Regions from separate parts of the Mus musculus genome. Here region 1 is reported to be linked to region 2. Evidence: microRNA targets listed by miRTarBase, many of them from high-throughput screens and not tested one by one. Region 2 holds a microRNA gene; the other region holds the end of a gene's coding sequence.

Region 1 (7,100 bases), not on the chromosome of region 2:
GGCATAGTGACATATGCCTTTAGGCCTAGTACCTTTGAATCTCTGTGAGTTCAAGGCCAGCTTGGTCTATATAAAGTTTTAGGACAGCCAGAGCTACAAAGAGAGACTGTCTCAAAAAATGAGGAATGGATTGTCTTTTTTTTTTTTTTTTTTTCTTATCCCTGGGGGGAGATGCTGGAGAGGTGACAGGGATACCAGCTAAGCAGGTGTGTGTGTCCCCGGACTTCAACGCTTCCTCTTTCCCCCTCCCCCAGCGCTGTCTGGACTGGAACCGCGACATCCTTAAGAGGGAGCTAGCGCTGACTGAGAAGGACATTATTGACCTGCCCGCGCTCTTCAAGATGGATGAAAATCACCAGGCCAGGGCTTTCTTCCCTAACATGGTGAGATACTCCAGCCCCAACCCCTCATGCCACCCCCAGCAGGGTGCAAACAGCCCCAGAAGGGCCCAGCTGAGTTGCTGGGTAACCTCACCTCTGACCCTTGCCCTCTCTGAGCCTCTCCATTCCCTGCTAGGGGTGACATGCTTAGCCTTGCTTTCTTACTAGGTGTCTATCCCCTGGCCCATTACTCTAGACAGGAGAGTGCTTGGCAAAAACTATCACAGCTCAGAATCTGTGCCTGTGTTTCCCCACCTCTAGAGGAGGATCCCTGACAACACGCCCTACATAGATAGGACTTGACGCCCTCAGGCAAACAGTGGCTGCTCCCTAAACACTCGCTCCCCTCCCAGGTGAACATGATCGTGCTAGACAAGGACCTGGGCATCCCCAAGCCTTTCGGGCCCCAGGTGGAGGAGGAGTGCTGCCTGGAGACGCACGTTCGAGGCCTGCTGGAGCCCCTGGGCCTCGCCTGCACGTTCATCGATGACATCTCCGCCTACCACAAGTTCCTGGGAGAGGTTCACTGTGGCACCAATGTCCGCAGGAAGCCGTTCACCTTCAAGTGGTGGCACATGGTGCCCTGACTGCCTTTTCCTTTTCCTCCTCCGCTGCGGTCTCTGGGTCCTTCCTGTACCCCCAAGTCCTTCCCCTACAAGAAGCAGATGGGATTGGGGGATATATGTGCCTTGCTGTCCCCTGGAGAAGGACCTCAGTGTCCACTGAAGCCCCACCCCCACCCCAGTAAGCCCAGCCATCCTCCACCTAAAACTAGTGGGACATGTGGTTAGTGTGCAGAGCCCTGGCCAGGGAAAGGGGACATCAACAAATCATGTAGTCAGATTGTCCCCAGGAATTCTCAGCCTCTACTCCAGGCCAGAATGAGGGAAGGGAGAAGGGAGGCTCTGAGGTCATTGGCTCTCCCAGCATCCATCTGACATTCAAGGTAGACCAGGAGAGGGTCCTGGAGTACCTTGGATGGTACCCTCACTTCAAGCTCACCTCCCTCGGGGTCTCCTGGTGGCTGGCTCCCTGCACCTGTTCATTCCTTACAGTTTCCCGTACACGTTGCGTCCCCACTCCCTGAGGGTCCAATCATTCAGCACAGAATCTTCCAGAAATAGGTCTTAGCAGAGGAGCGTTCTTCACTTTCTGTGGATGCGGGCTGCCCAAATTTAGGAGAAAGGGGAGGTCTCAGACTAGCATCCACGGTCTAAAGTTCGGTATATGAAGATGCTCCTGCCTGTCAATGCTATTTCTGTTCTCTCACCTGGTCCTCAATTCTCTGGCCAGTTCTTGGGCTCATTGCTCTTCCTATTTTGGACATTGACCTTCCTGTTCTGGACATTTGTCCCTCCAGCAGCTACACAGCCAGATCCAGGCCTCCCGAGAGCCTGAGAAGCAGCCTATCTCTCCTCATGGATGCTGGCCCCAGTGTCCAAGGATGCTGGCCACGTTCCAGCCTCAGTGCTCCCTTTCCAGCTAGCTGCTGCTCCAGAGGAGGAATTTCCCAGCATGCTTTCCAAAGGCTCCCATCCAGATACAGGCAAATTTACCCCTCGGCTTCCATTAGAAAGACCCCCAGGAGCTGCAGAGATGGCTCAGCAATTAAAAATGCTCCCTGCTCTTGGAGAGGACCCAAGTGCAGTTCTCAACACCTGCAACTGTCTGTAATCCCAGATCCAGAGGCTCCAGTACCCCGTTCTGGCCCCTGAGGGCACTGCACACATGTGTACAAACCCATACACATAAATACATTTGTTAGGGTCTGGAGAGATAGGGCCCGGTGGTGCACAATCTGCTATTGCAGAGTACCGGGGTTCAGTTCTCAGCACCCAGGTGGTGGCTCACAACTACCTATAACTCTAGTTCCAGGGGGTCCAATGCTCTCATCTGACCTCCACGGGCTTCTGCACATACATGGTTCACATACACACACTCAAGCACACATCCAAGTAAAGTAAAATAAATGATATTTAAAAAATAAAAAAAAATTTTAAATAAAAAAGGTCCTTTAAGGCCAAGAAGATAGGAAATATTAATTCTACTTTGAAAGGTTAAACAGCTCCATTTTATAACCAAAGAAAGGGTTACAGACCTACATTATTTTTTTTTATTAAAGATTTATTTATTTATTTTATGTATATGAGTACACTGCAGCTGTCTTCAGACACACCAGAAGAGGGCGTCAGATCCCATTACAGATGGTTGTGAGCCACCATGTGGTTGCTGGGAATTGAACTTAGGACCTCTGGGCGAGCAGTCAATGCTCTTAACCACTGAGCCATCTCTCCAGCCCCAGACCTACATTCTTAGGGGAACAAGATTTTTACCTTGGATTATTTCCTCAGCTATGCAATCAACGGGTTGTATGCTACTGAGCAGTGGGCACAGACTTAGACTCCGATAACATAAGCTAACCGTAGACTCGCTTGTCCCCTGCAGACAAAGCGCACATCTACGTGGCCGCACTTGCCCTTGCTGTGGTAGGCTCTTTGGGAACACTACCCAGTATATCCAATAAGCATACGCTCAACAGTCACTGCCTTCGAGAGTTAGGGTCGTGTCTTCTTCTCCATCCAGTTGGGCCAACAGCCATGCCAGGTCGGGCCTCAGAGCCTCCAAAGCTGCCATCATCTGTCTCTGGAGACAGTGGTCCCTGCTCTTGAGGGCAAAGCCCCAAATCCTGTCTCCTGCTCCAGAGTAGAAAACACGGGCACCTCTCTGAGGGAGCTGATGTGGAGAGGTGGGGGCTTGTGGTGTTCGGTTAAAGTGACTTTACTGCTTTTATTTTTATCTGGGGTGGGAGGAAGTGAGCACCTCCCATATGGCAGCCGCGTGGCTTTGTAGACTGCTACAATACTCCCTGGTGGCATTGGTTGTCTCAGAAATTTCTGGAACTCCAGGACTCAGACACTGCCTGTCCCATCTCACTTACTCACCCAGTGTGACTCCCCCCCAAGTGTGGATGCCCCCTTGCCTCCCCTGGGTGGACTCCTTGCTCTTCCCCACCCCCACTGTGTTTTGTTTTGTTTTGTTTTTAACTTAGGCCCAGATGCTTCTGGGCTACACCAGTTCCTGTTTCGATGTGAGTTTTGAAATGCTCCGTGAAGGGCTGAGGGACGGCAGGAAGATGGCGGGAGCCAGGCAGTACCAACTTCCTGGCGAAGAAGCCAAGATGGAGACTGAGAAGTGTTTGGGGAAGAGCCAAAATAAAGAGCAATAAAATAAGCCGTCCACGGGAAGCTACGCGGCTCTGGGTGACATTCTTTGCGGCTTCTGAGACATAGACACAAGTCAGTCAGATCACATGTGGCCCTTGTGGTCATGAAGCTCCTATTGTTCTGAACATAAAGTCTTGATCCTTATCAAACTCATCTCGAGGACCCAGCACCACCCCATCTTGCCCCCCACACACACACACATACACACACATACACTCTCAGGACTGTGTGTCACACAGCCTCTACCCAAGGTCGTGACCAATATCCACAGTAAGTAAGCAACCATGTTTTAAAACTGAGTTTCCCCAGATGCACACAGTGAGATAAGCATTTGGGAGCCAGTGAGTTGTTAGCCAAGCGTCTCCAGGAGAAACGGATCCAGAAACTGGGGGGACAGGGCATTGAAAGTGAAGGAAGACACAAGAAAGGGGTGTAACTTCAGGGCCAGTGCAGGGCCAGTATCCTAGTACCCCCTGTGAGCTCTGCAGGGCTGATGGCCCCTGGAAGTCAACCCCATGGAACGCAGGTCCCACTGCATCTGACCAGCAGGGCACTAACTCTGGCCCCTTTGGTCCTTGATGGGGAAAGCCACCGGTAGTCTACGGCAACATCTAAAGAAGGTTGTATCTGCTGCATTATGAACAGAGTTAGGGAGTGGGGCTTGGAGAGATTGCTCAGTGGTTAAACACGCTTGCTAGTCTTCCAGACAGTGGCTAACTCCCACTTTTGGCCTCTGTGGGCACCTGCACGCACACACGCACACTCAGGTACATACAAATAAATAACATAAAGCCAAGTTAAACCCGTGAGGTAGCTCACCGGGTAAAGGGGCTTACCGTGAGCCTGCAGGCTGACTTTTGTTTCTGAGACTACCTTTAAGACAGGAGGAAAGAGCTGACTATATGAAGTTGTCCTCTGACCTCCACATGTCTGTCCTGGCACATGGATCTACATGCACAAAAAAAAAAAAAACAAAAAAAAAAACCTTCTAGCCAGGCACGACGGCACGTGCCTTTAATATCAGCACTCAGGAGACAGAGACAGGTGAATCTTGTGAGTTCAAGGTCTATGCAGCAAGTTAGTTCCAGACAAACCAAGGCTAAACAGGGAGCCAGAGAGGCCAGGGATTGGTGGCACATGCTTTTAATCCCAGTACTCTAGAGGCAGAAGCAGGAGAGTCTCTGTGAGTTTGAGGCCAGCCTGGTCAACAGAGAGAGTTCCAGGACATCCAGGGTTACACAAAGAAACCCTGTCTCAAAAGAGAAAAACAACAACAAAAACCTAGAATCCAGTCATCTGACTGTCATAGTTCATCAAAGTTGATTTCTGTAACACAGAAAGTAGAAATGCAAAGGGAACATCAGCCTTCTTCCTTCCAGAACCTTCCAGAAAGTCCTCTTGCCTAAGCTATGGCCATCTTGGGGGGCAGGGGGGTGGCTTTGCTATGTCACCATTGCCCACTGTCAGGATGAACCCCCCACACCCATCTTGACTCTGTCCTTTATTGTTAAAGGTTGTCTTGCAGGGAACAGGAAGTCCTTTTCTCAGCCCTCCTTCTCCTCCCCCTCCTCCTCCTCCTCCCCCTCCTCCCCCTCCTCCTCCTCCTCCTCCTCCCCCTCCTCCTCTTCCCCCTCCTCTTCATCATTAACCCTAGCCTAGAGGTGCTTTGCCTGCATGTATGTCTATGTACCACATAGACTTCATAGCTTTCAGAAACAAGACCAGGGCATTGGATTCCCCAGGACTGGAGTTACAGACAGTTGTGAGCTGCAGTGTGGGTACTGGGAATTTAACCCAGTTCCTCTGGAAGAGCAGCCAGTGCTCTTAACTGCTGAGCCATCTCTCCAGCCATCTTTATTACAGCCATGCTCATGACCCAAAGGTTAACCCCGACGATTGAAGGAGAAAGGCTGACCATCAACCCAGATCATCACCACCGAAGTAACTGGAACAACAATGAATTAAAGCAAGGTCTTTATTTCCAGACACAGGATGCCTCCCAATACGTGGTGTTCAAGAGATCACCGCTGTAGAATAAGTTGATCATAACAACCTCTTTGAGGGGGCTGGAGAGATGGCTCAGCAGTTAAGAGCACTGACTGCTCTTCTGTAGGTCCTGAGTTCAAATCCTAGCAACCACATGGTGGCTCACAACCATCTGTAATGAGATTTGATGCTCTCTTCTGGTGTGTCTGAAGACAGCTACAGTGTACTTACATATAATAAATAAATAAATGTAAACAAACAAACAAAAAACAACCTTTTTGAAGCGGAGGCATGATTGCAAGGTGGTCGTTACAAGGTAGTCCTAATAACTGTTTAAACAAAGGCCAGGTTGCAAGATGTCTGTTACAACTTCTGAAACAAAGGTTTAGTTGTCATTTTTCTGGAACAGGTAGTTCAGCACTATCTGTAGTTAAGGTTACAGGCGGGGCATAGCCCAGTCCTTGAGAAGCAGACACAGTCATAAACAGCAATGAGTGTAGTGTGTCTTTACTACACAATGGCTTTTAAGTCTAAGATGGAGGCAGGCTGGTTTGTCACTTATTTTCTGTTTTTTTTTAAATTTATTATTTATATATTATTAAATTTTGCAGACCAAACACAGATTTATTAAGGAAAAGTGAGAAAGAACTCCCCAGAGTGGGAGAGGTTCTAAGTAAGAAATATTTTATTTTCTTCTTCTCTGTTTGGCTATTGAGAATTGAACCAAAGGTTTCACACGTTCTAGATACGTGTTCTACCACTAAGTGATATCCCTTTCCTCCGACCTCTCGCTCGCTCTCTCTCTGTCTCTCTCTCTCTCGCTCGCTTTCTCTCTAGATAAGTGTTCTACCACTAAGTGATATCCCTTTCCTCCGACCTCTCGCTCTCTTCTCGCTCTCTCACTTTCTCTCTTTCTTTTCCAAGACAGGATTTGTTTCTGTGTAACCCTGGCTGCCCTGAGCTCACTCTGTAGACCAGGCTAGCCTTGAACTAAGAGATCTTCCTGCCTCCTGAGTGCTAAGATTAAAGGTGTGCATCATCACTGCTCAGCTTGCTTTCTTCTCCCTCTCTCCCTCTCTCCCTCCCCCTCCCTCTCCCTCTCTCTTTGCTTCTGAGATAGGATCTCTAGCCCAGGACAGCCTTAAGCTCCCTATGCAACCAACAGTGATCTTGAACTTCTAATTCTTCTACCTCCACCTTCCAAGAGCTGAAATCACAGGTATGGACCTCCGTGCCCAGTTTAGGCAACGCTGAGAACTGAAGCGCAGACTTCATGGCTACTTGCCACCTTCCCAGCCCCGGGTTCATAGTGTTGTGGAGCCATCGCTCTGCTTGTGGCTCTTGAGTCCCTCCTAACCTGTGAATCTTATGAAAACTCTAAGAAGGGTTTCTGGCCCCTCGGTGGGCAGTGTCACTGACACAGTAATTGATCATCTTTTATAAACATTGCTACCAGAGCAGAATAATGATTCAGCCACCACTCTTGGAAAGAACTTAGAGACGTGCATTC
Region 2 (7,119 bases):
CTCTAGCCTTGGCAAAGCCTGGGTGGCAAGGAGCCTCCCTTTTTTCTCACCTCTGTCTTCAGTTAAAAGCACGCTCAACCTTCCTTTCATAACCCTATTCCCCCTTCTCCTCAAATCCCAAATGTTTGTTCTCCCAGTTTGTCTTCTCCTCCCCGGCAGTCATTTGAAACCACCATTAACCTAAATTCACTCACCTCCTGGGGGGAGTTGGCCCATCTTGCCTGTTGGTACAATCTCCCCATCTCCTCTTTTGTGGGGTCTTTTAAAAATTATTTTCTTAGGCAAGATCTCAGTGTGAACAAGCTGACCTTGATGTCTGGACCCTCCCGCCTCAGCCTCCTGAGTATTGAGGTTATAGGCATGACCCACTAAGCCCAGCTCCTGCTTCTAGAAACTCTAAAATCTAGATATTGAATGGCAAAGGGTTCTGACTATCACTTACACATTATGCAACCTGCCACACATGTTCTTAGAAGAAAGAACACAAAGCCAGGCGTGACTGTAAGCATTGGAGGATTGAGGCAGGAGGATCACCATCAGTTAGAGGCCAGCCCTGGCTACTTTGAGGGTTCTAGGTCAATCTGAGTTAAAAGTGAAACTGTGTCCCAAGAAATCTGATGCAGAGAGGTGTGGGTGCAGGATGACTATGAATAGTGACCCGCAGACCCCAGCTCTTCCCTCGGCAGGCTCACCAAGGGGACCCTCCTCAATCCTTCTTTAAAGGGTTACAGTTACTTGGTTACAAACACCCCAAAGGGTAGCCTTCAATCCTCTGCAGTGAAGGAATGCCTCCCTGTGGGTGTCACCACATGGTGTGTAGAGCATCCTTTGCTACACAGAACAACATGGGAAACTCACTCAGATGTAATGTGTAAGTGACATGCCTGAGACCAGGATTCCAAAAAAAACCTAGTTCCTTTTCTTAGATTTTGTCCTTCCTTCCTTCCTTCCTTCCTTCCTTCCTTCCTTCCTTCCTCCCTCCCTCCCTCTCTCTCTCTCTCTCTCTTTCTCTTTCTTTCTTTCTTTCTTTCTTTCTTTCTTTCTTTCTTTCTTTCTTTCTTTCTTTCTTTCTCTTAAGAGCAGGGTCTCACTATGTAGGTCTTGCTGTCCTGAAACTCACAGAGATCTACCTGCCTCTGTCTCAAAAGTCTGGGACTAAAGGCATGCATCAATCCACCATGCCTGGCTCAATAAGACCTTTTCAATGCCTAGAAGGGGTGGGGGTATTGTCTCTGGGTTGGATTCATGCAAAACTGGAGTGAAATATTTGTAAGAAAGTTGCCTTCAGCTGCGTATACTGAGAGCCCTGCAAAAGGACATAGGGCAAGGGCTTGAAAAACGTGGGTCACAGAAACAGCTGAGGGGCTGGAAAGATGCTCAGTGGTTAAGAACACTGGCTGTACTGATCCAGTTTTCAATTCTCAACATCTACAAACATCCGTGACCCCAGTTCTAGGGCGATCCAGCATCCTCTTCTTGCCTTGGAGGGCATTACTATATGGTGCATAGACATATGCAGGCAAAACACACCCGCAGAGACAGACATCTTTGAAACCAGATGTGAAATTGGTTTCCAGTAAGTCTGGTGTGTGTAGCAGACTGAAGAATAGAAATGGCAGTTTTTAAACAAAGGAGACTTCTCAAGTGGACAAAACATGAACTCAGACCAAAGGAGCTCTCCTACACAGTTTAGCTGGGTAGGGAGGGTGCTATATGATATAAAGAGGGGAAGTTCAGCACTTGGGAGGCTGAAGCAGGAGAATTGTCATCAGTTCCACGGAAGCCTGGGCAACACTTTCTAAAAAAAAAAAAGGAGAGATCCATGGAGATATCTCTGGATAAAGGTCTTTGCCACCAAACCTGACATTTGATTTCCATCTCCTGAACCCACAGGGTTAAAGGAGTGAACAGGCTCTCTCATAATTTGTCCTCTGACTTACAAATATATAACCACAGACACAAAATAAATAATTAAAACAAAGGAGAGGAGGGGGAGGAGGACGGGGAGGAGGAGGAGGAGGAGGAGGAGGAGGAGGAGGAGGAGGAGGAGGAGACTTTGGTATCACTGTGATGTCTGCATTTAATAAACCCCAGCTCTTTTCTGTGGTTTTGCCTGGCCACATTCTAGCATCCCCAGTGTCCCAGCTGAGTTTCCTAGCACAGCACACATCCTTATACCAATCCACACAGGCTGCCTCCCTCTCTTCACCCTTAGGCACATGGACTTCACAAAGGGCACCTGCTGCCCTGCTGAGTACCGTACACATACACAGTCAGTGTGCATCTAAAGAAGACATGAACCCTTAGCAGCCTAACCTCCTAGCCTCTATTCCTCCTTTTCCTAAAGCCTTCTACTCTCTTTTGAAGAGCCTGTGATCCAATGTGCTCATGGGAAACAATAATATAAAACTACTGTGGTTAGCAACTGAGACTCTAAGTGTTCCTGGGAATATGTGGTGTGTGTGTGTGTGTGTGTGTGTGTGTGTGTGTGTGTGTGTGTGTGTGTTTAGGGGGACTCTAGGATGCCCAAGAACTTGCTGTGTAGACAAGGATGACTTTGAATTCTTGATCCTTCGTCCTCTACTTTGCAACTGCTCAGATTATAGGCCTGTGCTATGATAGAGGGCTGTGTAGCCCTGGCTGTCCTGGAATTTACAGTGAAGACACTATACAGGAAACATTAAAGATGGTAATGATAAGGAAGCTTATTTTATTGATGCCCCTCCTCTGCCCATGCAAATTCCCAATAACAGAGAGGCTTCCCTTCTTTCTACTTTCCCAGTTGGCTCCCTTGGGGTGGGGAGTGTCACTTTCTCCAAGACAGAGTAAATGGAAGGAGCTTTGAGTGTCAAGCCAGTGAGTAATGTCAGCTGCTCACTTGTGCCTGTGTAACATGGGATCACATGGCATCTCTCAAGCAGCGGAAAAAGAAAACAGGCTGTGGCCAGACCATTAGTTCCAGCCTAGACCCAGCCTCTTTTCTCCTTGACTTAAGCTTCATCCCCACCACCCCTACCAAAACAAAACAAATTCCAAGCTTCTGGAATTTAAGAGGCCACTCGACTCTCCCTCCCCTAACTGCTAAAGAAGACACACACAGGCAATAGATTCCCTGAAGTCCCAGAATTTGAATTTGGATTCTCTAATATTTCCCCCCATGTAATACAAAATTGAATCATTATCTTCTAACTGTAAAATCAGGTCCCGGGAGGAAATTTTAAATTTATAAGAACCAGCGGAGTCTGGGTGATGACATTTTGCCCAGTTTTCTGCCTCTTATTAGTCGGTACAGCCCAGGTCTCCAAGTGCCAGCTGGTCAAGTTCGGCTGAGGGCCATGAGAGCAGAGGGGATTCCTAGCTCTGGCCATGTTTGTTAGACCATCTTCTCAGCTGTAGAAACCCTCTTTCACTAAAATATTTAGGTCAGGCAAGATAAATAGATTCTTTTTACAGGAGCCCAAATTAATCTCTCTAATTCTTTGCGTTCTCTGGGCAGCACAGCTACACATTCCTTTGTGTTTGAGCTCCACAGAGCTCCTTGAGGCCATTTGTTCCTTTGGGACACGATTTCCAAGAGTGAGGTTAGGACCGAAAGGTGGGATGCTCTAAAGCCCCCCACCCCAACTCTACACCTTTAGCCACTAATGACAAAGCAGCCAGAGAGAGTTCAGTTAGACTTAGCTCTGGTCCTGAAGGCCAAAGTGAAAGCAAAGAACCTGCGCCCCAGGGTCCCAGAATTCCTGTGGGGTAAAAAGGTCTCTGGCCACTCTGGCCCTTGCCCTTGTGGTTACTTTGTTTCTGCATCGCCATTCTCCCTAATAAGTTCGATGTGTGTGTTGGTTTTTAAGCCTTCCCCGCTCCTAGACCTGTTCCCACCTGGGCAATCTTGACTCCCAGTAAAGCTGAAGGGCTTCAGGGAAACCACCAAAGCAAAAACCAGCTTTCTAGAGACATCCTACGAACCTCGAACTCCACCAGTCGCTTCGAAGAGCCAGAGGGAAGCTGCTCACACCAGCCACCCGCTCCCGGGATGCGTCGAGACCGGGAGAGGGATGCTTGCACTTTCCCCCCAACCCTTCAGCCAAGGGCTCTGTCTCTCCCGGGAGCGGCTTCTCCGGACTGAGGCCCAGACTGCTCCATTTTGACCAGGCCTCCAGAGGCGACCCCAGAGCGGCTTCTTGCTTTCTTCCCAGGTGAGCAGGTTGCGGGTGGGGATCGCGAGGTGGCTCGGGCTGAGCAACCTTTGAAGGCGACGAGTCCCCCTCCCCCCAGCCCTCCAGCCTCCAGGCACGCCTGGCACGGCTCTCCCTCCTGCAGCTCGGCCACTACCAGCGTTCCAGGCCCTCTGCGCAGTGTATGGGGTTATTTTTACTTTCGGTTATCTAGCTTTATGAAGACTCCACACCACTCATACAGCTAGATAACCAAAGATAACAACCAACCCCGCCTCCTGGCCGCCTCCTCCTCTTCCACGCAGCCTCCCGGCCACCGCCTGGACCTCCGTAGTCTCGAGTCGCTCGACGGCGGATGGGGGACGCGCGTGGTGTGGAGGCGAAAAGATGGGATCCAGGACCTCACGCACTATCACGACGAGACCTCAGAAAGGCGAGGAAAAGATGCTACCGCCGACGGTTCTGAGGTCGGGAATCTAGGCTGAAACCAAGCGGCCCCAAGCCTGACCGCCCATTTCCCACTCCCTCCTCCGTGCAGAAGCAGGGTTCCGCCGGTGCTAGTGGAAAGGCTCCAGGGCCTTCGTGCCATCCGGGAAGACCGCAGAAGCCTAGGCCGAGGCCTCCCCAACCTCCCACGGTGTCCACACCCTTCTCTGGAAGGTCGAGTGTGAGCTCCGCGGGGTGCGGCAGAGCCGAGCTCGCAGAGCTGCTCCGAGCTACCGACTGCAGGGGAGCGGCCGCGAAGCCCCGGACGGGAACCCCAGCACTGGGGAACCCCGAGGCCCAGAGGGAAGCCTGTGGCTGGCGGCGGGGTGGAGGGTGATCTAGAGACTCCCCAGCGACTCTCCCAAGGGCAAAGACCCCACCCAGAGAGAATCGGGCGAGCAGTCAGGACGTGGGGCTGCGGGTTAGGGCAAAGGGTGACCAGGCAGGTGCTCCGAGCCCTGGACCTACGGAACCGCGCGGGAGCCGGTTTTGTGCAAAACGCAGCCGAAATCATTCAGAGATGTGAAATATGCCACTGGGGGTCTGAGTGAGAGATGCCCTTAGTGGCTGGAGGGGGCTATCTGGACTGAACCCACTGGAAGGAGGTCCAGGGACCGTGCAGAGGGTGTAGAGCTCCGTGGTCGCAGGTGGCGGACGCGCGCGCTGGACTCTGAGGCGCTTTCCCCACCTCGTGCCCCACGCGGGTCAGGCCACTTACATCAAACCCAGGATGCCCAGTGGTAGTGTCCTGCGCGGTCTTCAGGCGCGTTCCTACCCAGGCAGCGCCACGGACGTGGGTCAAGGATGCCGGGGCTTGCCAGGTAATGGGGCCGAGCGAGAGCCAGCAGGGTGGAGCAGGGTCTCGAGTCCCAGCTCTCTCCTCAGCCTTGGCCGCTGCTCTGGCGGGGGCGCTCTCAGGCTCCGGACTTTTCATTCATCCCTTCACACTCCTTCCTCAGGTCAGCCCCTGATTGGCTATACCTGGTCTGACGTCACTGTCTCGTTTCTTCCCCCCCTCCCCCCCAGCCTTTCCATGCCCGACCCCCTCCCTCCCCAGGCCAGTCCAAGACGTGCAATTGGGGTGCCCCTCCCCCAGAGAATGGGATCCAATGTCTTTATGCCAATCCTTAGTCTTTTGCTGCCTCATCTACAACCCGCCTGCCACGTCTATAATCCATTGCCAATTGCGGTTCTGATGGCCACCTTCGCTCTTCTTGTCGATCTTACATTTTCCTTTTGGGCTCTACGGTACATTGCACCAAGACCAGCACGCAAAAATAGAAAATAAATAGGGCAAAATTCCCTCAAAGAGAAGAGATCTGTAATCTCAGCACCAGGAGGTTGAGGCAGGGATGCGGACTGGAGACTCTATCTCTGACCCCCTCCCACCTCACCCCACCGTTAGAGTCTTTTTGAGTTCTAATTCCTCCCAAACTGTGATCCTAATATTTAGGAGAGGCAAGGGTCTCTTTTGTTCAAGGTTTTCAACTCAAACCCTCACTGAAGGGAAGACTGTGCAGTTTGAGTCTCCTGCTATGAGACAATGGGCGAGCAAAGGGGGCCCTCTTTTCTGCATTTCAGGGGAATGTTCCTTGACCCTATCTGCAGATAACCACAGAATCCTAGCTGCTTTTGAGACTCAGAATTTGGCCAAGTCCTGGAGACCTTTAATAGGTCTTTCCCTCTACCCATGTTCCTCCAGGCTCCCAGGCATGCAGTGCCAGCTCTGGGTTCGGTTCCCCAAGGAAGATGCCTTTCAGGCAAAGCTCTGTCCCCGTCCTCAACTTCCTCCACCTGGCTCTCAATCCAGTCCAGCCAGAAAGGTCCTTTTCTCCACCAAAGAAGCAGAAGCAGAAAAGCACCGGGGAGTAGCCAGTTGCTGTTGGGCAACATCTGGGTTCTAGGTACATCGAAATTCTCAGAGCAACCATGGGCCCCAGGAGCTGCTCTGTGTGCCAGTGAGCGGTCCCTTCATCCTCCTACTTATCCTCTGCTGGGTCCCTTCTATAAAACTGGCTGAGATGCCTAAATCCTGCTGGTCAGATTAAACCAGCCAGTTCCTGTAACCAGGGACCCCTAAACACGGAGTCACCAGCAGTCCATTTAGGGGACTATCACTTTAACCATTGGGTCTGTCTATCTGCTAGTCCCATGAATAGCCCAAAACAAAGCCAGACCTGTGGACTGCTTATCTTGCTTAGATGGAAGGTGGTGGCTAATAGGTTTAACTTAGTGCTTCTCACCCAAAACGGAGTATGTCTGAATGTTCATTGCTATTAATGCTGGCTGCATGGCTGTGGGTGGGGCCAGCTTGAGATGAGATAAAACCCACAAGATGTTTCCCTACCAGAAGGATGATAGCAAGCAAATAGCCTTATCTCTCCATGTCTTGGGGCATTCTCAGGACCAGGTTTAGCCAGAATTTATTTATTTATTTACTTATTTATTTATTTATCTGTCT

What was found. Region 2 holds the annotated microRNA mmu-miR-9-5p (UCUUUGGUUAUCUAGCUGUAUGA, at 4,409-4,431, opposite strand). A microRNA usually pairs through its seed, bases 2 to 8, with sites in the 3' UTR of a target mRNA and lowers its output. Matches are read on the target gene's strand: a 7mer-m8 pairs with bases 2 to 8, a 7mer-A1 pairs with bases 2 to 7 and ends in A, and an 8mer does both.
Region 1: miRTarBase lists Padi2 as a target of mmu-miR-9-5p. Seed matches in the 3' UTR shown: 8mer at 2,458-2,465.

The regions. Positions count from the first base shown.
Region 1 is chr4:140,948,958-140,956,057 of GRCm38, forward strand. Padi2 (peptidyl arginine deiminase, type II) reads left to right here. Exons shown (of 16, transcript NM_008812.2): 15 at 255-383; 16 at 734-3,629. The coding sequence ends at 967. Gm13031 (predicted gene 13031) reads right to left here. Exons shown (of 4, transcript NR_045911.1): 2 at 884-1,032. Among named protein-coding and RNA genes, the nearest start is that of Gm13031, 5.4 kb to the right of the region's middle.
Region 2 is chr3:88,212,925-88,220,043 of GRCm38, reverse strand. Mir9-1 (microRNA 9-1) reads right to left here and starts at 4,446; the gene lies at 4,358-4,446. All of the region lies in intron 2 of Gm3764 (predicted gene 3764), which reads right to left. Mir3093 (microRNA 3093) reads right to left here and starts at 4,873; the gene lies at 4,787-4,873. Gm25641 (predicted gene, 25641) reads left to right here and starts at 4,374; the gene lies at 4,374-4,431.